Oreochromis niloticus: one gene and its partners. The protein of the gene in region 4 purifies or fractionates together with the protein of the main gene of each other region. This does not show direct contact. Links are inferred from orthologs where the notes say so. Each region holds a gene or a part of one and is shown on either strand. Other genes may lie near its edges.

Evidence for each region.
Region 1: the proteins of exosc5 (region 4) and c1d purify together in Homo sapiens (affinity purification with mass spectrometry; 4 studies listed by BioGRID and IntAct, counting the BioPlex papers as one, with this or other methods). This does not show direct contact. The link is inferred for Oreochromis niloticus from reciprocal best matches to the Homo sapiens genes EXOSC5 and C1D.
Region 2: the proteins of exosc5 (region 4) and zfc3h1 purify together in Homo sapiens (affinity purification with mass spectrometry; 3 studies listed by BioGRID and IntAct, with this or other methods). This does not show direct contact. The link is inferred for Oreochromis niloticus from reciprocal best matches to the Homo sapiens genes EXOSC5 and ZFC3H1.
Region 3: the proteins of exosc5 (region 4) and hbs1l purify together in Homo sapiens (affinity purification with mass spectrometry; 3 studies listed by BioGRID and IntAct, with this or other methods). This does not show direct contact. The link is inferred for Oreochromis niloticus from reciprocal best matches to the Homo sapiens genes EXOSC5 and HBS1L.

Annotation. Positions count from the first base shown.
Region 1 is NC_031978.2:9,067,335-9,075,053, forward strand, and holds c1d (nuclear nucleic acid-binding protein C1D), read right to left. Parts: upstream 3,001-7,719; 5' UTR 2,883-3,000; intron 2,829-2,882; exon of another isoform or gene 2,806-2,828; intron 2,624-2,805; 5' UTR 2,620-2,623; coding exon 2,482-2,619; intron 1,311-2,481; coding exon 1,244-1,310; intron 1,078-1,243; coding exon 1,022-1,077; intron 934-1,021; coding exon 742-933; 3' UTR 227-741; downstream 1-226. Other genes in the region: uncharacterized protein LOC102078762, read left to right, coding at 3,432-3,590, 3,669-3,876, 4,122-4,288, 4,604-4,734, 4,918-5,084, 6,346-6,431, 6,802-6,882, 7,252-7,366. UniProt on the Homo sapiens protein: Plays a role in the recruitment of the RNA exosome complex to pre-rRNA to mediate the 3'-5' end processing of the 5.8S rRNA; this function may include MPHOSPH6.
Region 2 is NC_031972.2:2,020,145-2,027,136, forward strand, and holds the start of zfc3h1 (zinc finger C3H1 domain-containing protein), read right to left. Parts: upstream 3,017-6,992; 5' UTR 2,792-3,016; coding exon 2,263-2,791; intron 1,221-2,262; coding exon 834-1,220; intron 669-833; coding exon 579-668; intron 1-578. UniProt on the Homo sapiens protein: Subunit of the trimeric poly(A) tail exosome targeting (PAXT) complex, a complex that directs a subset of long and polyadenylated poly(A) RNAs for exosomal degradation. The RNA exosome is fundamental for the degradation of RNA in eukaryotic nuclei.
Region 3 is NC_031980.2:8,000,938-8,008,121, reverse strand, and holds the start of hbs1l (HBS1-like protein), read right to left. Parts: upstream 3,018-7,184; 5' UTR 2,779-3,017; coding exon 2,736-2,778; intron 2,089-2,735; coding exon 2,020-2,088; intron 1,793-2,019; coding exon 1,661-1,792; intron 1,452-1,660; coding exon 1,200-1,451; intron 738-1,199; coding exon of another isoform or gene 1-737. UniProt on the Homo sapiens protein: GTPase component of the Pelota-HBS1L complex, a complex that recognizes stalled ribosomes and triggers the No-Go Decay (NGD) pathway.
Region 4 is NC_031979.2:33,448,759-33,456,212, forward strand, and holds the start of exosc5 (exosome complex component RRP46), read left to right. Parts: upstream 1-4,452; 5' UTR 4,453-4,470; coding exon 4,471-4,606; intron 4,607-6,989; coding exon 6,990-7,103; intron 7,104-7,319; coding exon 7,320-7,441; intron 7,442-7,454. Other genes in the region: bckdha (2-oxoisovalerate dehydrogenase subunit alpha, mitochondrial), read right to left, coding at 1-48, 658-744, 852-1,028, 2,637-2,750. UniProt on the Homo sapiens protein: Non-catalytic component of the RNA exosome complex which has 3'->5' exoribonuclease activity and participates in a multitude of cellular RNA processing and degradation events.

The DNA of each region.
Region 1 (7,719 bases), on a different chromosome or scaffold from region 4:
GGCCCTTTAGGAAAATTAATTGCTGACCATTGCCTTAGATAGATCAGCAGTGTATCATACGGTCAATTTATACAACCACCATGCACTCTCAGATCGACCAGAGGAAACGGACAGCTGAGCAGAAGGTTTGCATCCTGTAACAATCTTCCTATAATGCGACACTATTAAACATTTCAGCACCATGCTGCCCATAAACTGTATAAAAGAAAATAATTCAAACACTGTATTTTTGGTGAATATTTTTATGCTAAAGGCATTATACTCACAAAACCTTTTTCTTGATGATGTTCAAAACATTGCATTTGTTTAAAACAAAAAAAATTAAAATAAAAAACCCAAAAAACCTTTTGATTCATAGAATCACTTTCAAAATACAAAGATTTATACCAGTGTAACATTACAAGAACATTACAACATGTATCAAACCTAGACCAGCTTTTGGCATCAAGATCCAAAAGTATCTGAGACTGCCCTGAGATGAAGTGTCAAACGTGGCAAATACAGTCTTTTGCTTGTCAAACACATTTGCAGACTGCTGCAGGGCAACCATGAAAATTTACACGACTCCAAGCTATGATCCTGATGATGAATTGTTCTGTTTAGCTGTCTTGTGTAATTGTTGATCAGACAACCGTAGCCTTCAAATGTGGCTTATGACCAAAATGTTTTACCTCAGTGTTCATCACCCTTAAAGGTTGTGCTCTTTTGCACTTTGACATACTCTGCAGATTCTTCTTTATATCATTTCTGCTTTGAACGCTTTGATGGAGGAGCTTCTGAAGATGTGCCTGCTGCTTTTTTTTTAGAATCCTTATCATCAGGATCATAAAGAGCACTCCTGACGAAGCGTGCAGCAGCTCCCTTATCCAGACGGGCAGCTTTTTTCTTGTCTGTGATCTCTTTCACTCTGTTCATATATGTTCTTATTCGCTCCTGAAACAACAGAATGGTTACTGAGGAATTAGACAATACATATGAATCCATGTGAGCAAATAATAAGTCAGAGATAGATGGCACATACCAATTCTTGTTTGATTCCATGCTCTCTGGGATTTATCCCTTGTGTTACCAAGTACACTGGGTAAGATAAAAATAAAGCCACATATCCACATTTTACACACAAAATGACATCCATGTACGGAAAAGTTGTAATGTATTTGTCTCTTTGGTATGCTTTCACTATATTCATTTCATTTTTATTCATCAAGATATAACGATTAGACCAAATAGGGAAAAAACTCACTCCAGAATAATGAATTAAGGGTGTAGGCAGACATCAGATCCAGCTTGGCTTGATCCAGAGGATCCAACTGTTAATAAACCAAATTTAATTTTTTTTATAACCTCCTGCATATGACAGATTAGTATCACTTTTTTCATTAAATGTATTTGTAATATATATTCAACGTACAGTATTGTTTCACTGAATAAAATTTTGCTCTATAAAAGAAAATAAACACACTAGCCACTTTATTAGGTACATCTTTCTAGCATTGGGTTTTGACATCCTTTGCCCTCAGAAGTGCCGTAATTCTTCATAGCATAGATTTAACAGGGAGGTGGAAACATTCCTCAGAGTTCTGGTCCATATTGATATGATAGCATCACACAGCTGGTACAGCTATGTCAGTTGTACATCCATGATGTGAATCTCCTGTTCCACCACATCCCAAAGATGCTCTGTTTCATTGAGATCTGGTGACTATGGAGCTCATCTGAGTACAGTGAACTAATAGTCATGTCAAGAAACCAGTTTGAGATGATCTGATGACATGGCGTGTTACACTGCTGGAAGCAGCTATCAGACGATGGATACACTGAGGTCATAAAGGAATAGACATGGTCAACAACAATACTTAGGTAGGCCGGCACTTAAACACAATTAGTAGTATGGGGCCAAAAATATATGGCAAAAAAAATTCCCTATACCATTAGACCACCACCAGCTGCCTGAACAGTTGATAGCAGATAAACGTGGCACCAAGCGTGGTCTTGTGTTGCTGTCACCCATTAGCTACCATGTTCAATGTGTTGTGTGTTCACAGATGCTCTTCTGCATACCCTTACTGTTGCCTTCTTATGAGCCTGTGCAGTCTGGCCATTCTCCTCCAACGTCTGGCATCAACATGACATTTTGACCCAGAGAACAGACACTCACTGGATATTTTCTCTTTTTTAGACCATTGTATGTAAACCCTAGAAATGATTGTGACGGAAAATCCCAGAAGATCTGCAATTTTCTGAAATACTAAGACCACGTTCCATCCCCATCTCAGTTGTTTTTCTTGACCAAGTTCACATTCCTAAATTGATTGAGCTATTGGCACATTAAATAATCTGTTACCGAGTAGGTGACCAGGTGTACCTAACAAAGTGGCCGGTGAGTGCACGAGGGTATATAGATAGTAGGTACGCACAAGCACAAATCTAAGCCAACAAAAAGACCACAGTACCCGATGTGTATAATAGTATTAGGCCTACCTTTTGCAGCAGGTCATTTCTGGGCATCGACATCAACTGCTCCAAAATGGTTTTAACTGAAGTCACTGACGAGTCGAAGCACGTGAGCTGTTCATCTATCTCGTGAGGGTAGTCCTCAGCGGCGCTTTCTGCGGCCATATTTCTGTAAAATAATTGAATAATTACACCGTCGTGTAACTTTCCTGTAGCACTATTTTTCATTAGAAGAACAGAAAAGCAACAGCAGTATGTCCAGGGAGAGAGCTAGCATAAAATGCTAACAGGAAACCAAAATAACCTTTAGATAAGCTGAGGAAAGTGACAAAAAGGATAGATGTAAGTTACCATTTACTGATTTAATAGCAAACCAGGATCACTGTAAATTAAATCTAACAAAACAAGAAAAAAAATCACATACTTACCCTGTTAGCAAACAACACGCTTTAGCCGACAGGAAATGACGTTAAAACTGTGACCTAGTCGTCTTCGCTTTCCTCTTCGCTCCTCTACCGCCGTCTGCCGGTGGGATGAGTGGAACAGCTAGTTATCGTTAGCTAATTTTTTTTTTTAATTTATTTTTTTTTTTTAGCGTGATAAACATTTTATTTGCAGTTTTCTATATTTTGTTTATTAACAATATCCGCTTTTCTATAACCGTGTGTATTCTCTAAATCGACGCTATATTCCTTATTATTGACTTTTGACACATTTTTTTAAGCAAGGGTCTAAACGAAAAACTTCTTTAAGTGCCAGCTGTTGTTTTCATTCCTATTAAACGCCCAAATCTATTTAAAATACTCATATGTAGTAGTAACTTAATATCTAAATACAACAGAAGTGGTCATGTTACTGTGGTAACGTGGGGCGTCAGTGTGGTAAATAAAACTGAGCGCGCTAGGATGGGAAGTGCTGTGTTTTGGGACTGTTGTAGCTAAACCCAAGCAAGCTATAAAGAAGACGCCTGAGTCATCATGGACAACTGTGATTTAGAGAAGCTCTGTGTTTCTGCTGGGACGCTCCGTCCATCGTTCACACCTGAAGTCACAGACTACAAAGTGACTGTGGAGAGCAGCGTCAACGAAGTAACACTGGACGTGATGACAAGCGACTGTGGGGCTTCATATAGTATTGTGAGCAAGCTTTATGGCTTCTATTTCTCAATTCAAGTCTCTTTCGCATCTAATTTAGCCTTGTGATTTCTATTTCAGCTCTTCGGTGAAAGGTCTAACACGATTACACTGAAAGATGGGTTGAACAGAGTAGGAATCGAGGTGGTAGCTGAGGATGGTACCATAAAGAAATACAGTGTGGAAATCACCAAACTGTCAGCAAAGATCGCAGAGCTCAGTAACCTGGCTTTGGAAGGAGATATTTCACTTCACCCCGCATTTTGCACCAAAGTTTTTGAATACAATAGTGAGTACAGCCTATCTGTGTTAAACAAGAAGTTGTATATGAAATGTATAATTCTTTGTTTTGTTTTCTATTTCAATTGATACACAAAAGCAGCAGCAGCAGTACACATGTGTGTAAATGTATGTATAAATATGCTACTTTGTAAGTGAATATTATTTAAAATGCAGAGACATAAAAGGTTTGCAGTATTTCTCAGTTTACAAAATAAATTTTTATGTGCTTCTGTGGGGGGGTTTTCCCTCCAGGTACTGTTCCCTTTTGTTGTAATTCAGTGACACTCCTTCCTGAGGTGCCTGACAGAGGCATTAAAGTTACAGTAAATGGGGTGAACAGCTCGGAACCAGTCCCTCTGAATTTTGGAGACACAGTGGTGGAGATTTCAGTCTGTTCACCAGATGGCAGTGTTTCACAGGTATAATAAGACATGGATGGTGGAAAAACTTTATATATGCATTCTTTGAAATGCTTTGAAACTCATCATTATCCACCTGATAACATATAGTTTTCTAAATTTTTAAACTTCATATGCTTTTAGTGTTGCTTTTGCTTCTGCATAATGAAACTTATTAGGAATTTGAGTCTTTTTAAAGGTCTCTGTTGGAGCCCTAATAACTCCTGCACATGAGTGGATCCATCTGCTTTGTACCCATACATCTATCTGTGGTAACCTTTTGTCAGTAAGGGAGTAGCTAGCATTTTATACCTAATGATCTTCTCACCTTTTCAGGTGTACAAGGTGTTGGTGACTCGAGAGCTGCTTCCTGTGCCTGTGACTTTCACTGATGTGAAGCAGCAGCTGGAGTATGAATGCCCAGTATCCCTAAGTGCTTTCTACAGGCCTTTGTCTATCAATCACAGGTAAGTCTTGAAACAGTTAACACATATTGCAAAACATATTCGCCAATAGTCACATCCATTACTTATCCTTTGGTTCATGCTGAATATTAATTCGCAAATGAATGATGTATTTCCTCTATATAAAAAATACTACAATATACAGCAATTTACCTTTCACACATTTGTTCTTTTGCTAAATTGTAGTGAACCAAAGAGCATCTTCTCAAGGCCTTATATTGAGTTGCTTGCCCGAAGATCAAAAGTTGACCCACTTAGTGATTGTCCTCTCGGAGACGGCTGGAAGGTTGTTGAACTGGACCTTGACAAGAAGATGTCAGCTGCCTTGGTCAAGTGTTTCTTTTTTTACAGAGGTGAAGCATTTCAAACATATTAGTTTAAAGCTACTGGGAAGAGTGGATGTTCTTATTCTGGATATTCAGATAGGAGGAGGTTCTGTTGTTCTTAAAGAGAGCTCGTAGATTCCTGAACTTCTAATACAATGAATGTCACATCAATGAATAACAAATGAAGCCACTGCTCTAATATGGATTCTTTGAGTTACTGCATTATTTTCACACCTATAGAAAATGCATACAACTACATTGTTAACAGGTATCTTACCTCTTAGCAGAAGTGATTACACAAGCTATACTATCATGTAACATGATGTAGTACTGTAGACAACTATCATGTTGCCCTAATGACAGGGGGTATTATTACTTAACTAAAACCTTGTGCCACTAACTGTCACGAGACAAAGACTGGATTTTATATCAGGCCTTCAGAAGATCTGGCTTGCTTACTCAGATGTGTATTTCTAAATAATCAAGGCTTCTCTTAAATTGTTTAATTTAGTTAAAAGTACAAATAAAGTAAAATTGTATTTATATAGCATCTTCCAAGATAAATATCACAAAGTACATCACAACAAAAATGCTAAAACATTAAAACAAAAAGTTACCAAAAGCAAGTTTCAAAAAGATGAGTTTTTAGCTTATTTATTATCTTGGGTACAAATCTGTCAGGGGCACATTAAGAAGTTCTGTTTTCTCTTCATTAAGTTAGAGATAATTGTCAGCCATCCAACTTTTCATAGAGCCTCAGCACCTCTGCAAAATCTCTAGCTTAGAAACACCTTGGGGCTTAAAAGACTTATATAACTGATCATCTGTCATTCTCATAGCAGTGAAGGAAAATGTCCTTAAATTGCAAGTGGCAGTTTTATTTATATACAACATTTCAACCTTAATATGCTTTATAAACGCCCCTTAACAGAACTTTGCAGCAAACTGTGGTGAAGAGAAGTAGAAGAAAACATGTGTTTAGAAGCAGCCACAGAAAAAGATCGATTAGAAAGATATGACCATAACAAATAGACCCTGAAACACCCGCCCAGTATCTCAGCCTATCAAGCCTTTTGCACCTACAGGGACAGATGGACTGAAATAAAGATGGAGGTAAAATATCGAGAGTGCAGGAGCATGCTTTCATCGAGTCAATTAATTGCTAGTTTGGACACATTGCCTTGGGAGACGTTGCATGGGGAGCAATTCTACAGATTTGTTAAATAAACTGACAGCTGAATCCATCCCGGTCCACCTCTAATGAGCTTTTTTCCCCTTTTAAACAAAGGGTGTGATACTACAATGAAACTGTCTGAGCTTGGGTCACACATTCTGGACTGTTTACATAAACCTACAGGGGACCTAGATGCAAAGGTCAGTGTAAAAGATTAAGCAGGAACCTCCATTGTCAGAATCACTGATATCGACTTTGTCACTCTTTATCCTTTATTTACAAGGCAATGCTCCATTTAACTGTGAGTAAACGCAAGTCTGACTTCCACAGTAAAAGTTGTGTCCACTTTGATGTTGAATGAGTCAATAAAATAGTAGTTTTTAGCAACCATTTATAATTTTTACATTTCAGTAATTGTTATTTTACCATTGGTAGAATGATAAACCCAGTTCTGTATATTCAGCACAGCCACCTTGTCATTCCAGTTCAAAGCTTTATCAGTGGAACCTGGTAAATGCACTTTATAAAATCTTTTTTTTTGTGGTATAATCAGGATAATATTTCTTTTAGGATGTAACTGAGACAGATTGGTATAAGAAGCACTTTGAATCAGCCAAATGTCGGGAGACAGAGACCAAACACACCTGTGAGGTAATAAGCTCTATTGCGTACTTCTTTCAGTGTCCAGTTAGTTAATATTCTGACTGATGTTGATGATACACAGCAAACCTAACAACCTACAGTACAATTATTTATGGCCATAGTTCTATCTTGTGGTGAATGTGGGTAATCTAGGACCTTGATAGTTTACCCACTTAATCAAATGAAAATAAAAAAAATTATTTTAACATTGATTGTGTTATAATATGATTATGAATCATAATTATGATATAAATGAGGCTGTAGATGATTTGCCTTTATCATATTCTCCAGTGTTAAATATAAGTTATAATATAGCTCATATCACTACTCCTACTGTATCTGTTTAAGCTTTCCTGCTTGGTCTATTTTCTACTACAGCTTCGTAACTGGGAGGAAAGACTCCAAATGACAGCAGCAGAAGACAATGTGGACAAGTTGTGTGCTTTGGCCCAGGAGCACCTGAAACTCTACAGGCAACATCTGCCAAAGCCAGGCATGTAGCACTTTCACTTTCACGCCTACATTTTAACACTTTGTGAATTATTATGCTGCATTGTAAGATGGTGATCCAAAACAAAATGTGGGTCAGGCAGAGTGTAAAGCTATTATAATACAAACTAGAAAGTCAGAAAAAAAACCAAATGCATTTTTTCACCTGTTACTTTTTATAAAATGCTGACTAATCTGTCTAAATTACCATCTGCCCTAATGACGAATGTCTGTAGTTGCCTTTATTTTTAAACAGGCTATTTACCGATTATTTAAAAATACTCTTGAGCAAAAGGACTTTTTCCTCGCCTTGCCTTGACAACACAGCTCAGCTTAAAGCTAATAAAAAATACATGA
Region 2 (6,992 bases), on a different chromosome or scaffold from region 4:
GCGGAACTTCCTGTTTAGTGACCCTTTAAAGGACAAACAGCTGAGCTGAGCCTTGGCAAGCAGCTCGGTGATCGTGTGCCAACAAAGTGAACTGTGTCAGTATCACAGCGGCTCTGCGTTAGCGTGTGCACCATCGTCCAGCTCGTTAAGACTGCCCTGGGCCTCTCACGGTCCTGACACACACCTGGACCGTCAGGGTTCAGACACTGAGGCCGTACCCAGACTGCAGAAGCATTTGTCACACTCTGAGCCGAGACACAGCCATCCCCAGCTGACCTCTGGAGCACCATCTGAGCTTCATCACTAACTTGAACTAGCGCCGTGTGAGCTTGTAATACCTGAAAAATCTCTCTGCCCCATTAAAGTAACAGAACACTTTCCACACACCGACTGCAGCGAAGCGGACAGATCAGCAGGTCACATGTGTGATATCAGCAGAATCCCACAGCGCCCCCTATTGTTGCAGTAACAAGCAATGTGACAACCAACCCCGGTCCACCCTACAGGGAAACGTCCTTTCAGAGGACCAATCGGAGAGTCTGCTGCATCGGTTCGGTTTATGCTTGCGGTCTGCTCACCGCCGCTCTCGCGCGTCCCCTCTTCTGCTTCTTTGGCACCTTTTCCTTCCAATTCTGCTCCGTTATCTGTGATTGGCTGATCCCCTTCACCTGTCGACACAAAGAACAGGAAGCTGTAAAAACACACCGAGCTTTACACAGCAAACACTAAGTGATTTAGGATTGGTCTTCAATGTGGTTTAAGTCACCAAACAGGTAAAAAGGGGCATGTCTACAGCTGCGATGTGAAACCAAACATTCGGATTACGAACTTACCACCAGGCTCCGCCCACTTCTTCTGCAGCTCGTCCAGGTCGGCTGGCGTGGGGAGTTTCTGACGAAGCGGTTTGATGTTGAAGGCCTGGAACACTTTCTTCCTCTCCAGCTCCGACGCCTCCTCCGCGGCTGCTGCCGGACTCAGAGCCGGGCCCGGTTCAGCTTTGGCGTCCGTTAGAGCGGCGGCTACGCACTCCACCACGTCGTCCCTGACTGGTGACGTCCGTGGCTCCAGGGCCATCGTCTCCTCTTTGCGGATGCACTCGAGTTCAATCTGGATCTGTTTGTATTTGGACAGCAGATCCTCAAAGGACTCGTCACCACTGCTCTCTGGCCTGGGAGCGCCGTGAGCCGCCTTCCTGAGCCGGTTCCTCCCGAGAGGTTTCTCTGAGGTCTGCGTTAAAGAACGCTGATCAAGAATTACTGGTCAACACTGATCAATACTCATTTCATTTTTAAAGTCATGATTTTAAAAAATATATCAATCCATCCATCCATTCGCTTCCGCTTATCCTTTTCAGGGTCGCGGGGGGCGCTGGAGCCTATTCCAGCTGTCATAGGGCGAGAGGCGCGGATAGGTTAATTGGATAATCGAAAATATATCAATATTATTAAAAAAAGTAAAATTTTCAAAAATAATTACAAATCTTTGCAACCAATGAAAAGTTTCACTTTTTAAGAAAGTGTAAAATTAAGAAATGAACAAATTAAGAAAACCTCACAAAAAAATGTCCATGTAAAAGAAGCAAAGGTGCTTCTCCTATCATCGGATTATTGATCGCAGATCAATGGCAGAAAACACGCAGCCCTCTGAAAACTAATCAAAAGCTTTTTCAATTATGGAACTCATGATCTCAGATCATCACCTGCACATTTGATTATTGCCTTCCAAACACATGATTTTTTAACACAGTGTGTGTGTAGTTCCTGCCTCTGTCCCAGTTGAAGGCTGACCTGTGGCTCTGAGCTGTTTGTTATAAACTCCACCACCTTTCGTCTGTAACACTAAACTTCCGCTTGTGGGATCAATAAAGTATTGATCTATTGATCCATCTATTGATTTGGGCTTTTCACAGCTGTCTTTAGGATCATTTCAATATGATCGATCAAGCAATACATGAACGAGGAAATAATCGATCACTGATGTAACCGTGTAGCGGATGAATGAGGACAGCTGCGGCTGAGGGGAAGTTGCAATCACACATACGTCATCACCGCGCAGGTTTCGTTTCCTGCTGTCACGCACGCGCGCACCTGGTGGAGTGTGAAACGTGAACGTGAACCAGTCGAAGCCCAATACACTCGCGGATCAATGGGCTGATCATTAAACCAATATGTAATCAATGAAACCCTGACCGGCTCCTCGCGGGCTGCCTAATTCAATCACCGTCCCGGGGGCAGGGGGCACGTGACACAGCAGAAAGGATACGCTTCCTCGCGGGGGAGCTGTGGCTCTCTCCGGGCAGGTACCGTCCGGGAGGTGGCCGGCTGTTGCCCCCCCGGCCGCCGCGGCTCCAGCCCCCGGGCCCTCCGTTCGGCATGCCGCGGTGCCGGAAGCGTCCCAGCGTGCCGTGGCTCCGCTCCCAGAAGCTGGACCGCGGCCCGGGCTCCCCGTGAGAGCCGAGCCCGGGAGGCTGCTGCGGCGACGGTGGCGGGGAGGGAGGCCGGTCGGGCCCGCTCGGCCCGCACTGTTGCCGGTGGCCGGCCGGGAATGGGCCGTGAGGGCCGAGGCTGTAGGGCATGAGGTGGCGGAAGTCCGGCGGCGGGTGGCCCAAGTGCGGCGGCGCGCCGTGCGGGTGCTTGTGCGGCTTTCGTGGCCGAGGAGGAGCACCGCCGCGGGGCCTGCTCCCATCCCCCCGCCGCGGAGGCGCTCTCTCCTCGGTATCATCATCGCAAATTTCTCCGTCTTCTAGCTCCCCGTCCTCCGCGGCGGATCTGTTCGGAACGTCTACGTCCATGTTGGGGTGACCGTCTGCAGCTCCCTACTGGGGCCGAACTCAGCGGCGGGTCCCGGAGCTCATTCCGTGGCTCTGAAGCAGCTTCGCGGAGGTTCTCTCCGCTCTGACCGTTAGCTCTCTGTTAGCGTTCTGCTAGCGCCGCTGCTACCAACAATCACCGCGATAAAACGCGAGACTTCGCGGGACCGGAAAAAGCACATAAAAGGAGTGTCGCTACCCGATCCGTACCGTACGTATCCGGGTAGTGACAAGGGCTGTGTCCCAATTCAGGGTATGCACGCTTGAAGTACGCACACTACGCGTACTACGTACGGTGCGTACTACAAGTACGGGAAGTGCGGAAGTGAGAGGCTTGTGAAATGGGACGGTCTAGCCTTCGTTGCGCTGTTCAGGTTGCCTAGCAACCATGATACTAACCGCGAGAAATGTTTCATACAGCTTTGTGTGACAGAAATGAAGGAGAAAAAATGTTTTGTTGTTCATTCATTTTTGTCATGACATCACTTTGATTAGTTGAGACCACAGGACTGTAAAACATGATAGTTGGGCTTCATTTCTGTACTGAACAGTCATTTTAAGATTAGTTAGTAAATAATAATTAGCTAATGTTATTCATGAGACTAAAGTCATCTCACTGTGGTAATGTTAATATAATATGGACAATATTATATGTATTGTCAGATTTTATATATATATATATATATATATATATATATATATGAGCTTGAACTCTGGGTCAAAGATGCAAGTAGCAGTTAATTATATTTCCTATCACCTTAAATCTTCACTCAAAGACAAGTATCTCTGACAGTGTATATACAGATGTATTATATATAAGAGACAAACATTGTTCTTTCAATATGTTGGCATTACTAAATTTGGCTCAATGCTTATATATATGTGTAAAAAGAAAATGTACGAGCTGTGATAACTGTTTCTGATAGAATGAAGATCAGACTGATATATGAAATATTCCTTTATTGGGTGAGAAAATCAGACCATGTCATAACTGCTTTAAGTCATACAGAATAGATATCAGAGCCTTAAACAGGCTGACTTCTGCTAAATGGGTCAAACTGGGCAGAAACTATACAAACACATAACATCCTTATAGAATATGATGTAACACTATAGATCAGCTTACCTCAGAATATATAAAGCATATAAACAATTACAGCAATATGATGCAACAAACAGAGCAGTACTACTGATCCAAAATACTCAAAGCTTCATAGAACTGAAACAAGCATTTATTTTTAGCTCCATTCTGCTGCTGATACATACTTTAGGTTTCTGAACATTAAACTTGTTGCTGCCTTTCATAGTGTTTAACTTGAAGGCCCTGAGTACTTTCTCCCACACTGAAAACACTGGGATGATCACATTATTTGAACATTACCTAATAAGACTGATTCAGGACAGACAATTAGTTATTCTAAACTTTCCTAGCAGTCCTTCACAAACAGGAACAGTCTGTCTATTCTCTCCATCTGTCAGCTGCTGCTGGCTCTTCCTCCTCCTCTTCCTCACACACTGCTGAGTTTGTCCTGGTGGATCATCAGGGGTGCAAAGCCTCACAGATGATGTGCAGCAGTGGGTCCCTCAGTCTGTCCTCACTCTGGACACTTGCAGTCGTCACACATGGAAATCAAATGTGTGATAAGCTGCAGGATTCAAACACAAGTGTAACTTATAAATACATGTTCATACTTTTATTCCACAATCAGAGAGAAAGAAACAGAGAGAGAGTGCAGGACAGACAGACAGGTGACAGTCTCAGGTGTATACACTGCAACAAAACAGCACAAGAGAAGGAGGATTTAGTGTTTGTGTTATTACGAGTGCTAAACAAGAAGAGTTCCCAGATGGTCCAGTGGACACATGTGTGACTCCTGTGATTAAAGCATCTTTCTTTCAGCTTAACGAGTGAACCGTCAGCTCGTTCAAACACACGTTAAAGTCCGTTTGGCTCGACACCACCGAACAGAGGCAGCAATATAACATAGCTAACATTAACAGTGCAGTGAATCCTGCTTGTGCCGTCATATTCAGGACTGTAAACCGAGCAGCATCACTGACTTTCAGCTTGTTGTGTTTGTGGATATATGACTGACTTTAATTATCCATAAAATCATCACATTCTCTGTAAGATTAAGGTCGACTATATATATATTTAGAAGTAGAGGCTTTAAAACCAAGTTACCGCTGAAAGTACAAACATCACTAATGTCACATAACTTTGCCGACATGTGGCCAACAGTAATGTTTTAATGTTCTTAAACATTCCCACATAAATAAGTGACATAATATTCAGTACTTACTTTTGACAGTTCACTCTTCGGCTGCTCCCTTCTGCCGTATTTTGCGGCAAAATTATCCACACCCACCGCCGCGCTATGGATTGTGGGATATATGGGACCACGAAGCGTGCACCGGACCACGCTTGATATTTGGGGAAATCGACGGCGCATTTGGAGTATGCATTTGAAGTGCACTTTGAATTGGGACAGCCGTCGTCGCGTGGCGGTGACGTACTCGCACTTGAAATGCGTACTTCAAGCGTGCAGACCCTGAATTGGGACACAGCCAAGGAGAGCTGTGGGTTTTTCTCTTCCTCCCGGGAGGCGGGGCCTCCGCGTGTTGTTCTTACTTTATTTATTGTTTTTATTTTGTTGATAGTTTTGTTTTGTTTTGTTTTGTTTTAATTTTAATTTATTTCATTGATTTTGTTTTGTTAATTGTTTTTATTTTTTAGTTTATTGTTTTTTATTTGTTTATGTTTTTTGTTTTCATTTGTTCTTATTTAATGTAATGTTTATTTTGTTTATAGTTTATAATTTTGTTTCTTGTTTTTGTTTCATTTCTTGTTTTAACTGGGAGCAGGCTGCGGTGCTTCCTGTCTGCTCAGCCCCCTGTGTGACATCACTGATGGTTATTTATCTGTTCCCTCAATCAGAATCAGTCTCTCTGTGTGTTTCTGTGAAAGTGGCCACAGCAAGAAGGCCATGTCTACCACTGGCTTATATAATAAAGTGTCAGCAGCTTGTTTTGAAAGGAGAGCTTATATTTATTCATGTGGTGAATGCGGAGGTGAAGCCAGAAGAGGGTGGCGATGAGACACAGTGAGGAGCAGGAGGAAGGTGTAGGAACTGAGCAGAGGAGCAGGAAGGTGATCAGGAGCAGCAGGTTGAGGAGGACGGAGATCAAGAAGATGAAGGACACAGTGGAGTGGAGCATGAAGTCTTCGTGGGAAGTTCTGTGTGGAGCTGCAGGTGGACACAAGTCAGGAAGATCATCAGAGTCATATTACTTTAAATCACACAGGTGGCCTCGGTTTCTATTAGTCATTTATTATTGATTATTTATTAAAATTATGTGAGTTAAAAATTCAGTCTTCCATTTTAAGCAGAAGTTGAAGCAGCGACCGGTGGATGGTGACTCAGAGTGGTTCTCACAGCTGCTCGATGACCCCACAGTTTCCTGAAACAGACATAAGTCACACCTGTAACTGCTCTGTGACACCTGTCAGTGTGCTGGTCTGGATGTGGACCTTGCAGCTGCAGGTTTTCAGATTGTTTCGAACCTTCCAGAGAGACTATGCTCTTCCTTCTTTGTTCTGACAAAGCTCTGAGAAAGTTTGGCAAACTTTCAGATTTTTGGAGCTTCAGTGGTCAGTGGGTGTTAAAAAACACTCACGGTGTTTCCTTTCTGCTCTTGGTGAAGTGTGAGAAAATGCTTCCCCTCAGAGATCTGGCAGGACAAGCAGCACAGTTTCATGATGAGCTTGTTCACGAGTTCAGAGCAGTGATGCTGATGTGACACAAGGATAATGTACGAATTCAGGGGGTCAGAGAGCAGATGGATAGACGAGTGATCCACGGTGTAAACAGGATGTTTCTGTCAGGATGAAAAATTAAAACAAGTGAAAGCTTCACTGCCAGCCTGAAAGATTTTAGTATGACAGGTGAAAACTGATCTGATGGGTTTCCACTGAAGGCGTTTTCTGGGAGCACTGGGATGTTGTTGTTCTGCAGGAAAACACTAGGCAGTTTGTAAATCAGGTGTCCGTTCTTCGTACCTCGCTAAGTAAGTTAGCTGGATTTGATTGTTGACGATTTCGCGTGATCTTGGATCATTCGGTTCTCCGAAGCTCATCCGGGACTTGCTGCCATAGCAACAGATCCGTAAGCGTAAACCTGCT
Region 3 (7,184 bases), on a different chromosome or scaffold from region 4:
GTGCTGGGAAGCAAGTTCGCACAGGGATAGTGTTTGTGCTGGTGCAGCCATTCCCTGAAACATCACAGAAGGTATGCTGCTTTGAGGAGTAAGGAGCGAGTTACTGAAAGCTGGGCTTCGATTTGAGTGCTCCTGGATTAAATCGGCCAATGTTGGGCTGCCCTTTGAACCACCCAGCATGGCTTTGCCTCCAACCTCAACAGACTGCTGATTTTTCTGCACAACAGAGCTGAGACTCCCAAATCCAGGAGGAGCAGCCATAGAAGAGCCTGCAGCTGCTGTCTTGGGGTTGTTTAGCGATAGACTACTGAGTGAAACTGAAAGGATGGAGGGAGGAGAGGCTGGTGATGCTGATAACGTCTTTAAAGATGCCAAAGCTCCCAGTGAAATACTACTCTGATTAGACATAATGGATGCTGATGTTGTTGCATTTAGTCCTTTGTTGGATGAGGAAACGTCCGAACCCTGCCTTGTGTCAGCTACTACTGACCCCTTATTCTTTTGCTCATGCTCAGAGATGAGCTGTGCCAGACTACCACCACTGCTAACACCTGGGCTAATGTTTTTAAGGCTAAAATCCTGCTTTTCACAGCTGCCAGCATTTGGTTGAGATAAGAGTTCACATAAGCTGGGTGCTTTTAGTTCAGGTACATGTGGATGTTCATGTTTGTGCCCATGTGTGTTGGCTTCATGTGCCTTGGATGTCGTGTCTGTGTGAGAAGCAGACAAGCAGGCTCCTTACCTTACAAAAGCCAAGTGCAGTTGTCGAAGAGTAGGGGTGAGGGGGAGCAGAAGTCAAATCAATCATGTAGCAAAAGAGAGAAAAAAAAAGACAGAAAGAAGGCACTTTGTTAAACATTTGTATCACTATACAAATTTGTGCGAAATCAACCAAGAACACTACTGGCTGTTAGGCTTCCATACACCCAATAATGACACATATTTATATAGAAGTACTAGCAGCAGTGACTTATGTTGACTGCGTTTGAGGAGGAAATGGGAAATACTTATCTTGGAACACCCACCTATACAGAAAAATTTTTCATAGCTATGAAACTCCACAGAAAACCCAAATCTGTTATACAACCCTTTAAATGCCACAAATTAACGTCCTCCCGGTGTGTTACTACACTGAATCACTCAGGGGTAACAGTTTTCAATCACTGAAACATTTTTATTTTGACCCACTCAAGGTGTACCTTTGTCAGCCACAGCCTCTTGTTTGGTTCTTTGTGGTTGTGGCGCTTTGTCCTGGTTAGCTCGCTCTACTGTACCAATCTCTTCAGCTGTACTTCTGGTAACTGGAGCGGTTTTAGTGTCTTCAGACAGTACTGCGTCCAGTGCCCTCTGTGGGTCAAATCCACATTTTATGGCTGCCTGGGTCAGGACTGAGTCCGGCACTGCATCTCCCAGCACAGTCCGCATGTGGTCCAGACAGGAATACAGCTTGGCTAAAGAGTACAGCAAACATTGGACACACACAATAGATTTGTGATCCATACAAAAAGCAAAGAGTAAAAAAAAAAAAAATGCACAATTTCAAACAAAAGTTTAAAGGACAAAAGGAATTGGTGCATGGAACCTTTAATTGTGAAAACACAAAAAACAAGTTGAGAAATTTTTATATTCTGAGCCACAGTTGTGTGCTTAAAAATACTACCTTGATCAAGAGGGCTGAGGTTGTGGTTGACAGTAGGGGACACAGGGACAGCCTCATCTTCAAATTCTTCCTCCTCTAAAGGCTCTTCCCTTGGTGCATGTCTTTCTTGACGCGAGTAGATGAACTGATTTGCTAGATAAGCCAAAACCATTTAATTTTAATAGTAGATTATACGTTATCATACATGATGTCTACTTAATGTTGCATACTTTCAAACTTAAACTGGAAATGCAAGCAACTATTGTTATCAATGAGTGTAATGAAAAAAAGTTATTTATTTGAAAATACAGTGTATGCTTAACTTCAGACAGATTCAAATTAGTTTGCTCCATCTTCACTATGCATCAATGCTAACCAACCTGTTGCTGGTGAAATGCAACAGTAGTCATCCTCCACAGACTGTCCATACATGTCATCATCTTCAAAGTCTGAAAAAAGAAGAAGAAGAAGAAAAACAACACTTAGATGGATACCTTTGCTCATTTAGTTGTGCCTCACACAAACAGTCGTATACACAGTTGCAGTAAAGCCCCTTTATGCCAGCTGTGACTTTGCTTTGTCAGCAACTTTATGAATGCCACTGCACACTGGAAACCTGGAGATTTTCCTCTAATCGCTAAACTCTAAGCTTTATTTACAGAGATATTTCGCAAGTTAACAACATGGGGAGATGTGAATGTAAAGAAGAGCAAGTAAGGAATCTGGTGTAACTGACACAAACAAAACATTGGATAGTTAGCAAGCTAGGCTAGGCAAGTAGCTGGCAATAACCTGAGTAAACATTAGTAAATTGAGTAGCTACACACACCTCACATCAAAATTTGTCATTATAACATTAACCTAAAATCCTGGGTTTGCGTGGGTATAAGTAATTACTGTCGTTATGGGACAATTTATCTTGCGCTAGGTGCCAAGTGACACGACATCAGTGTGATCTTGCCAGTTAAACGACCTAGCATTAGCCGCTACAGCTACTGAATAACTGTAAACTTTAGCTTAGCTGTAAACAGCTAACTGGTTTAGCTCTTTGAGGCCTTGCCGCGGCATTTAAATCGGAACCCTTTTTGCCATCTACCTTCATCGTAGTTGTAACCTCGAACATTTCTATGACGAGACATGTTGATTATGCCTCCTCTCTCGGCGCCACTGTTATGTAATTCGGTTCACGGACATGTGTTCACTGCCCAGCGAAGCTCCTGCAGTTGCTGCTGTGTGAAGCTAGCCTACCTCAGCAGGCAGGTCACAATAGATTCGACAGTCACGCAAATACATAAATGTAACCACAACACAAAAAAACAAACAAAAAAAGAAAATAAATGTATTAGTTGTATTTACGTCATTTCATCGACACCGAGCTTTTGCATAATTAAAGTTTAAAAAAAAAATAATAATAAAAAGTTTTTTTCTTCGCTGACGAAACTTCCGTTTGTAGTTCTTCAGCCTGGCATAAGATCTCAATGGGTTTCAAAACGTTTGCGCTGTCAGACCTAGATTACACTGGATTTATTTACAGCTTCAACTCTGTGCATCCGTCAGAGTAAAGTTCTGCAAGCCTAAAATAGTAATAAAAGTTGCACCCCATATAAAAAAGAAACATTGCACTACACGACGAGTTTAACAGTAAATAATAAGAAATAACAAACCACAACAGAGAAAGAAAATAAATTATGTCGCAAAGAAAGAGAAAACAACCCATCTGTGTAAAATGGAAACGTTATAATAAAATTACTCTTTAAAACAAAGTGAATGACTGGGAGAGGACTCTGTCTGACAGAGATAAGAGTATCACAGGAAAATAAGAGAGGTGTGAGGTGGTATGAAATACAGTCTGTAAAGTGTTAGATTTTCTCAGGTGTTAAGCGTCCATGGTGCGAGGAGGGTGGGGGGTGTAGCATTTCCTTTAAGCCCTATAGTCTTTTTGCCACCAGGCATCAGGCACATATAGCAATGGCTGAAAAAAAGAAAGAAGAAAAAATGTTGCAGAGCTGGGCCTCACATGTGGTGATGCTCACTGACCTGTGGTTTCTCAGGTTGCGCTTGAATTATATATATTTTTCGTTTAAGAGGAACAATACTTGTAAATATTTGCTGCACTGAAGCAGAGTGAAGTTTTCCATTTTGGTAGGACACTGTCACAAAAACAGAGAAGCAAATAGGTGAGGAAAATCAGAAAAAAAAGAAACGGGGGGGTGGGGTGCCTTTGTGACTCATATCAGTAATAACTGACCTGGCATAGTTTTCCTGTAACAGCAAAAGCAAATTTTTTATTTCTAGTTGCACGGCCTTTAAGATCTGTGGACCTTTGACTGTGAAAGAGGACTGACCAAATGTTGTTAAATAATGTTCTGATTTGCAGTTTTTTAGTCTTTTTCATTTTAAATGTTTCCCACCTGGATGTTTACGAGGGGGTAACCCTTGTTTCTCTTTTCTGAAATGGGTAGTTTATGTCATATTTCTAACCTGTTTTCAGAGTATAATGTCTGGGTGTGCATCACAAAGTAGTGAATGTGATCTCTGCTTTTACGGCTTACTAGGGCTACGTTTGAAAAAAAAAAACCCCAAAAACGGAACAATTCTAATTGTTGTCCAGTCACATCTTTAATGATTCATTGAGGTGTCAAAACTCATCATTAAGGCTACAGGGGGAAGTTGTCGAATGTCATCTTTGTGAGAGGAAAGAGTTCAATCATTTGCTCTTCAATTTCCGAGGCAACACTTAAAAGACCAATATATAAAAATCTCAAACCTTGGTTTATTTAATTCCACAATTGTGCCATTTTATTGGGTCCAGTGCCAATATTTTCAAAGCTTCCCCCCGAATAGGTTGTGCACCGGATGGTGCTGGAACTTGTCCTCCCGCAGCTCTGTGTTTACAGTGTACACATGTGGAGAAGGCTGATGACTGTCCCTGTAGTTTCGATGACTTACTGCACAGATTTCCTCTCGTTCCCCGCGGTGTTCCCAAACACCACATTGGTTCCACTTGTCAGAATCCTCAGTGAATCCCGTGCAGGCCTGTTGGGCTGACAGCTGAATCTGGCCTTCCTCTGCACCGATGAAGTCACGTCATTCTTTTTTTACAGGGTTCTTTGACCCAGCTCAGGTGTTCAGATTTTCTAGTTTTAAATCATACGAAGGAAACACCATAATGATTCAAGCAAACAAACAAGCAAACCAAAACTTAATTTAAAAGTTATAATGCACCATGCACTCTCTCAAGAAAAAGAAAAAAAAAAGTGAACTGAAAGAACTCAAGCCTGCTAACATGAACTACCATGCGCATACAAATTTGAATCCCACCTTTGATTTTGGGGTGTGAATGACTATTTTGTCAAAGGTTATCGCCTATGGTTAGGGGCCAACCCATCTGAGCCCACACTACACCTCGAACAAACACTCAGTGACATCATATTTTCCTGCTATCTTTGTACCACAAGAAATCTATAGCCTGTCTACCACAAAGGGGGAGAAGCGAGAAGTGTATTTGTGTGCCCTTTTTTTTTAGAAACATTTCGTGTGCTTGTTTATCTGCGAACTGGTCTGCAACATGCCCCTTTTTTGGTGTCAGATATGCTTGCAGATGTATGCATGTTTTGTTTTTTTTGATGCATCTTATTGCCTCAATGAAAGGAAGGATGATGAAAATGTCAGACAATAATCTGATAGCAGCGATGCAGGTGAAATTTACAGCATGCATCTGCAAGGTGAAATGAAATATGAGGTCTGGCGTGTCTCCCCCTTGCTAAAAATAGATCAGAATAAAGAACAGCTCCTGCTTAGGTAATTGTAAAGACTTTTTTCACGAGTGATGGCTCATATTGCAACTGGCAGTTTGACGAAGATCAGATTGACAGAGGTTGGTAAGAACAACGTGGGGGGGGGGGGGGGATTCATATTGGGAGGGGGACGTCAGTGTAGAAGATGATCATTTGTTGTACGTAAAAGTTTGCCCTTGTGTGTGTGTGTGTGTGTGCCTTTGCCTGCGCATGCATGTGTGACCCTGAGTGGGTGGAGGTTTCCCCTTACAAAAAGAAAAAATTCCACTTCCTGCGTTTTGAAGTTTTAGGTGCACATCTACATGTCAAAATAAACAACTGCACATGCATACATATGCAGTTGTTGTTCATTGCTCAGTTTACAGGGTCACACAGGTGACAGAGGGAACTCTTCCTTTACATCAAAATGTTTCTAGGACATTGTACAAACTAAACGCTTCAAACAGCACCTGATGCAAGATGGAAATGGAACATATTGCATAAGGGAGAAGACATGTATGCCAAAAAAAGAAAAAGAAGTCAATTGAAACTAGAGAAGTTGGTCTCTGCAGTGTTTCTCTTGCATTGTCCTTGGTCAACATAACCTTTTGAGATTCACAACAAAACAGAGACTTGTTTAAAAAAAGAAAAAACGCCACAACTTCAACCAACCAGTCTTTGACACAGTGCTATGCCAAATACGTTGTTTGTGTGTGTGTGTGTGTGTGTGTGTGTGTGTGTGTGTGTGTGTGTGTGTGTGTGTGTGTGTGTGTGTGTGTGTGTGTGTGTGTTTTATTTGCTCTCTGCCACCTTGATGCAATCACATATAGAGATGAATCAAACATGCGTTAGTGTTGCAACAAGAAGGTGTGATCATTTCACACCTTCACACAGGATCTGAACACTTGTTTCCTTTCAATGGCTTTTGAGCACTTGCCGGACAAATCTCTGTTGCCGCAGAGTTTACAGAAAGTCTGATCAATTAATCAGTGGCAGATGAGTGGGATTTCTGAGAGAATGGATTCTGCGCTGATTAAAAGGATTAAACAGATGGATGGACAGATTGTTGGAAGAATGATGGGATCAGAGGATAATTGCTTTGTTTGTTTTTAAACCTGTAAATTATATCATTTTTGATTAAAATAAAAATAAAGATGTTTGCGTTTGTCACATCACCTCCAAATGAATTACCAAACATTTCACAGGATCCGCATGATAGCGGAGAAATGGAACACGGTGGTGTCTGTGGAGTCAAGTGAAAGCAGAGGGTTGCAAATTCTGGTGACAACAACATGTACATTTGCAAACAGATTAGCCTGCTGTAATTGTAGAAGACAAAGCCTCTGTGCATGTGCGTGGGGAGGGGGGTGAGGTCCCTTTAAAGGTTGGCAGTAGGTACCGGGGGAACACTTTACATAATTTTCCAAGGGCCCCAGACATGGTGGGAGTGCATTTTCACAGGAACTCACCCTCGGGGAAAATGCAAAACATACACCCTTTGCAGTCAGGTGGGCAAGCAGTCCAAACAACTAAAGTACACAGAGATAATATATAAAAGGTATTTAAAGGTATTTAAAGTAGCAGGTTGAGAAGTTAAAAGATAATCACACTCAAATCCATAAATCCTGAAGGAAATAGTGGTTTATGTAAAAAAACAACCCAAAATATGAAATATCTAACAATCAATTAAAAAAATAAAAATTCCCACTGGTTTTTGGCATGTGATATATTTTTTAAAATACACATTTATTCCCAGTTAACAATTAGTA
Region 4 (7,454 bases):
GTGTGTCCCCTCCTCACCATAGTTAGTCATGTAGAAGGAGATGCGACCCTGTAACGGACAGGGCTGGGCGGTTAATCAGACTGTAATCTCAAGTATTATGAAAACAAAGTAAGTGGCGAAAAAATATTTACTTTTTCCATTAATTTTACCTGAAACCTTTGTGTTTTGCTGTTATAAATCAAGTGCACCTCTGTCTTTTACAACTGTTTGGTGTTCTCCCTTCATAAAAACTAAAAATCACTTGCTGTTTAGTTCAGCTCAAGCCAAGATGACTAAAAGATCTGGAGGAAATAAAACTACCTGCTTGTGTCACAGGATCACTGAAGGGCTCTCGCTGGATTTCGTTCAGTAATCAGCAACAGTTGGCCTTTCAGTCAAAAACACTCCCTAGTCCTGTGTCCTCCAGAACTCCTCATTTTTATGTATTCATTTTTAATTTTAAATTATAGTTAATATAAAGGAGTCCTGCAGCAGACTGGCGACCTGTCCAGGGTGTACCCTGCCTCTCGCCCTAAAACAGTGGATAGGCGGAAATGAATGAATGAATGAATGGATAAAGAAAATACCCTTTGAGACACCAATTTTTAAAGTTCAAAAACTGCTGGTGTTGTGTTTTAAATAATCAGGTTGAGCCAGGAGATGCAGGAGGAAACATACCTGTCTTTGAGACTCATAAAGAATGCGGTCCATTGTGTTCAGCAGGGTCATCTTCTGATAAAAGTTCAAAACTGTCTCTTTGGAGAGCTGTGTTGGAGAGAAACACACAATTGACAAATTAACTTTGGCTCAACAGACTGCAGAGGTCTTAGGGGCACATTTGGGAACCAGGAGCACAGGCAGGCTGATTGTACCTGAGGGTCTTGAGAGGGGTTGATGATATTTCCCTGCCTGTCCATCACCCGGTACACTGGGATCCCAGAAATGACATTGGGCTGGATGAACTCGAGCTGATCCACAAACTCGGCTGAGGCTCCTGGAAACTGGGGCTTTTCCAGCGATGAGTCAAAGGGCTGCTGCAGCTGAACAACCTGAAAAGATTGATTACAATCATTATTTATTAAGAATCTCATTGTGGCTGTGGCAAAAAAAAGGCTCTAGGAAAAGAAAACACTGCATATCAGGTCACAAAACTCATACAAACTGTCAAGCACGGTGGTGGAGGGGTGATTTGAGCTTTTTTTGCAGCCACACAGCCGTGAACTCTTCTGTATACCAAAGTATTCTAGAGTCAAATGTGAGGCCATGTGTCTGACAACCACTGGGTCATGCAACTGGATAATACTAAGCAGAGCAGCAAATCTACAGCAGGATAGCTGAAAAAAAGGTGTTCCAACGTCCCAGTGACCTTTAACCTGACTGAGATTCTGTGGTAGGACCTTATGAGAGGTGTGCACAAACAACTTACCTGAATTTATTTTGTTAATAATATTTTTTGTATTTGTGTTGCTTCGTTGTATTTTGCTCTTTTCCCCCCCCACGGGTTTGTCCACCAGCACTTTGAACTGAATTAATAAACTGCATAAAAATGGAATTAAAAATTAAGTTTCATTGATTGATTATTAGTTTTAGTTTTATTTTTTTCAAAAGGCTAGTTTCTAATTTTAGGTAACCTTTTTAACATCTAGTTTAAGCTTTTAGTTTTGTTTTAGTTAACTACAATAACACTCGTTGAATCTTTAGACATTTTAGAAAGCTTAACTTCAGAAAGCTGAAGACAATACAATACTCTTATAAATCATGAATAAGTATGTACTTCTTACAGTGCAGTTCCATTGCTCCACTATAACAACCATTTCCAAATCTCCCTCCCATACAGATTTTAGACACTCCAAATGATTATTGATGGACCTATAAATAAATAAATTAGATTATTTTTAAAGAGTTACATACAGATTTAAGTGCTGGAGCGATCGAAGGAAATAAAATAGCAGCGAAGGCCATAGAGCAGCAACAGTTATTAAATAAAGTTGTTTTGAAAAAATGATGCATTCGAGGACATCGGATTTAAGCTTAATGCAGTTTGGATGCAAACTGCATTTCGTTGCCCTGTACCTGTGACATGTGCAATGACAATAAAGTTGAATTCTATTCTATTCTATTTCCTCCTTCACGCCCCTTGGTTCGACCAATGGAAAAGAAGCTAGCTAAGCCTTTAGCCGGTTGGCTAACTAGTCAAGTGTGAGAGTCAAAACAACAAAAATTAAAATTAGTATTTATTGCAACTAAAGTTGTTTATTAAAGATCAAACATGTATTCACTAAATATGTGAGAGTTAGTTTGACTTTTCACTGATACATTGGAGAATCGGTATAGAATTTCAGCAAGGTTGTTAGCCATGCTAGCAGCTCCGTAGCTAACCAGAATCTTTGCGCAAACAAGACATAACCCCAAAACTTATTAAAAGATAGGGTGACAATATTTCGAATTCCAAAAAAGAGGACACTTGGCCCAATCATGAAGAACTATAATAATACTGTTTGCTTAAAGAAAACTGTGCGGTTAATGAATGGTGAAATAAAAAATGTTTCCCGGCCCCTCAATGGCAGCGTTATCTCCAGTCCAGACTCCGCAGGAGCGACTTTTCCCATAATTTATTCATCGCCCTATCCAAACACTGCATCGGAGTTTTCACTTACAGTGACCCTGAAGCCTCTGCGCTGCAGCAGTCGAGATGCCTTCAGTCCTGCTGTCTGGCGGACAGCGTGGAAACAGAGCCCATACATTTTGCTCATGCTGCTCACAGCCGCCATCGGCACTCAGTAGTTGTTTGATTTAACCGCCGCTGCACACCGGTTTAGAGAAGTTACACTGTGGTGGATATGTAAAAATCTGGCCAACGGAACTGCTAATAACCACCGCTCGCTGTCCTTCCTGTTTACATCCACAGTTTACAGGCCGATAGCCGCAAACTGACTGCACCATTAAAGCCGGCTACAGTATCCTCAACATCCGGCCAGGCCTTCAAAATAAAACCTTAAGTTTAGTTGTCCGTTTTTACATATTTCATAAGTTGAAGAAATGAGCGATTAAAGATGTCGAGATTTAACACTCTTTTGTGTTAGAATAGCAATAATAAATAAATAAATAAATAAATAAATAATGCGTGGGTTTTCCAGAAAGGCAGAGTGCCAGTTTTATGAATTAAAGCTCCCCCTCCCAGTCGGGGAATTAACCTGATGAAAGTCCATTGTGTGATACTGACCTGTTAATTAAAATACTGTCACTATGTTATATGCGTCACGAAGCGCCTTGGTCGTTTTCCGGTGGCCTTTTTGGGGCGATTTTAACTTATCAAAATCAGTATTGCCTATTTTAAGACACATTGCCTGCTCAGACACAGCAACGCAGTCACATTAACAACAAACGACAGTTATTACAATGTGATATATAATACATCTTACAAAAAGAAGTAAAAGTAAAAAAAAAAAAATGAATGAAAAATTGCGCATGTGTCTTTTTGGACATACAGATCAGCTGTAACATGCCTGAAACAGTTTGTAATAAAACAGCGTTCCTCTAACGAACTCTACCTGAGATGTCAGTTATACCTAAGTTAGAGAGTCAGGGGCAGATATGCAATAGGAAAGAAAGAAAAAGAGAGAAGGGAGGATAGAGCCGTAAGCAGTATGGAAAAACTGATGAACACAAGTGTTCTTAAATACAGTCATAAAAGAACGATTTCTACGTCCTTTCAACCCTACCAAAAATTAAACCCTACTCTGCTGCCATCTTGTGGTCACAGTGCAGTAGTGCATTAATAGCAAAAGCAACGTCAGTGGCATGCACAGTAAAGAATATTATTACTTCCAGTCCCGATGATAAACCAAGTAATATCGCAGGTAGAGGCGTTGACATATTAAAATAAAGTATTTCAACTACTTGTCAAAATCTGAAAATGTCTTCGCTTCAGTTCTGAGCTAACTGATGTTGTAAATGCAGACTGCAGATAAATCAATTTTTGCAGCCACGAGTATTTATCGCCATCTAGTGGTGATAGCGCGAGCTGCAACATGGTGATTGCAATTCACATCATGCCAGTGAAAGCTCACCTGTGGAAAGCAGTAAATAAACTGATGTAGATAAAATTCCGGTGGGTGGTTATGACGAATAATGAAAAAAAAAAAAGAGAAGAAAATGATAGGTTGACACCGTTGTGTTTAAATGCAGCTGCTGCCTGCCATCTGGCGGTCATTGTGAGTAACTACACATTGTTAAACTCACAGTTTACACTATTATACGGATGCTGCACTTCCGGTACTTTCAAAATACATTAAACGTATTAAGGCAAAGTAGGGCTTCAGATTGCGTCAGGAAAACGTGAATTATGATGAAAAAATATTATTTTTTTCTTCGTTGTCATAGATATATATTACAGATCCACATTTCTTGTGAATTAACTATTTATTAAAGCTAACATTTCTTTCTCATTCTGATGTCATCAGTAAGGAGCGTAAACTACAGGGAAAACAGATGACGCCATCCGCCTGCGACAAATCTGCTTTCTCCACGATGGAGGTCTGCGGCTCCCTGACTGTTTCTTTGAGAGAGTTTGGTTGTGAACAGAGCTTGCTGTCTCGACCTGATGGCTCTGCTTCCTTCGTCCAAGGTAACACTAATTTTAGAAACTATTTATCTGGGCGTTTATTTGCCTCTTACCGCTAAACTGGACTTAAAAGACGGAGAAAGGTTAGGGAACATCTCTGGAAATTAACCTGCCACTTCAGTTACTGACATGACTTTCTTTACCTTTATGAATAAGAATAAAAGTAAAACATGCTGGGGGGGTATTGTTAATCAGGCATAATATTTACCTTTTCGCAAAACTGGTAATCTTATTTATACATATTTATATCTCGGGGTTTTAACATGCTTCGATGTGATTATGCAAATGTAATATAAGAAATATTGAACTATTTGTCAAAATAATGTAACGATGAGAATCAGGAGCGCATCTATTGTGGTGGTATGGGGTGGCATGGGGTGGCATGTGCCATCTTACCTTTGTATATGACAATGTTGTTTATTAAAATAAGGTAGCATTAACTTTGAGCCTAGCTACAACTAATTAATAAAATAAAATACATTTATTGCATAGTGTTAACCGCCCTCCAGGGGCGGATCTACTGTGCACATTTTGAATCAACACCATGGACATTTCAGATTTCAACACTTCTCTGGAGGCTTCCAAGTCACATGACCAATTTAAGATGACATAGCAACAAGATGCAGTCTCCATTTAATTTTCATTTTTGTTGAAAGTTCAAACTATGTACCAAGAAAAGTTAAAAAACTGCATTTTCTAATAACAGCGCGAAAAAAACCCACCACTTTCCTATTGGTGGAAAAATGTACCATATTGACCAATCAAAAAAAATTATCTGGCAACATGTGACATTTGTGTTTTGGGGAAAAGGGGAGAGCAATTCTACAGTCATTGGATGTGAGAGATTTGTGACATTTAACGTGTTTGGAGTGTGTAGTTAATGTAAAGTTAGTGTGTTGTGTAGTTCTTTGTTTTGTTTTTATGTGTCAAAACAATGAGGACACTAGTGATTGTCACAGTTGCTGCCAAAAGCCATCAAAGGCAGATTGCAGCGTAAACGCTGTCTCCAGGTGAAAAACAGTGATACGCATACTGTTGTTAGACCTGCAGGTTTCAGGTCTGTGATGTGCTCCTCTTTCTTGTGGTGGACAGAAACTTTCTTTTGGAGTGGCACAAATAATTTGTGTGGCATCTTATTGTGACACCTGTTCTGTAATTATAGTTTTAGTAGTTGTACAAAAATGTCTGAGGCATTGGCTGCATTATTAGGTAAATAGTTGCATGTATCTTTATTCTTTGCAAGATTTGTGCAGGCGTTTTTAAAATTTACAATTTATATTTGCAATTCTGAAACATTTTGGCGTTTTATTTGTTTTGTTTTTTGTTTTTTACAGTAAAACCTTTTTCCTGCTCAGATTTTTTTGGGGATGTAAATTCAGACATGTGAGATTGTGCTGAAAAGAATGATACCAAACAAGACAAGGCAAATAGTTTTTAAAGGTGAAATGTAAAGGTAAAATTAGTAAGTAGTCAAAAATGGCCAATAATATCCTGGACATCAGAGGGTTAACCTAATAAATCATGAAAAATTGTGGTGAAAACTTTTTCATGACAGTGCAGACTTCTGGCAATTTGTGTAAATTAAAGCCTGTAACAATTTGATTATTTCTAATTTTAAAAAGAGTGTGAAACTAACCGAACTGAACTTCTAACTGAACCATCTCATGTCTTGTACCTCTATGTATTTTATACTTAATGGCCAAATGCCTATTTATTATATAGGCTATACAGTACATCAAATCAAAATGTACATGTTTTATGTAACTGAAATGTTTAATTATTTGGGCTAAAGAAAATAAGAAAGTTACAGACTATGTTTATATGAAATGTGTATACTTACTGCATTTGATGTATTTTAAACATATATAATGTCTGTCACAGAATGTAACACCTATGTGGACAATAAGACCAAGGTTCAGGGCATGGGCATGGGGATGACTCAGTATCCTTCTGTAATTTGTGTTTATACTTTTACCTTTAATATTCAGATTATTACTCCAGAATGATTCAGAGATGAGCCCAGCACCCTGTGTACCCCGCCTCTCGCCCTATGATAGCTGATAATGATAAGCAGAAATGGATGGATGGGCTGATTCAGTGTCTTTAAAAAATGTCTTAAGAATAAATGTGAAATTTACATGATGAGACTTTGTGACATCAGCTTTAGTTCTCTTATTAAAAGCTTGTTCTAAATAGGGTGTCTGCGTTTGAGTCCCCTCTTTAAAAACTACATGTGCTGTGAGCATATTTACTGGGTGTCGTACTGCTTTCAATGATTTGATGTTACTGCTTTTCCCCTCCTAGATGTCTGTTTATGTGGGGAAAGACATCATTAATGCTCCAGTGTTATTTATTGAAAAATGCTCCTTTTTGTTCTTGTTTGAAGGAGACACGAGTGTGATGGCTGGAGTGTACGGACCAGCTGAGGTCAAAGTCAGCAAGGAGATCTATGACCGGGCGACCCTGGAGGTGTTGGTACAGCCCAAAGTGGGGTTGCCAAGTGAGTTTTTCTTTTTAAGGGGTAAAAAATTTCATTATGCAGCGTTGCTTATTTTATTTTAGGGAAATAGACTTTTTGCATCCTGATATCTACAAGAATGTTTCAGAGGTTTCTGCTGTGGAAAAAGCTGCTATACCACAGCTCACCACAGGGTGGGGTACGTGAGCTTTCTGCTCACATTAAGTTTTTTTATACCTCGATTTGTTTGTTTTGTAGGTGTAAGGGAACGATCACAAGAGCAGTGTGTGCGAGAAACCTGTGAGGCTTCTCTGCTCCTGACGCTCCATCCACGCTCCTCGCTCACTCTCATTCTTCAGGTCCTGCATGATGATGGTTCAGTATCCTTCTGTA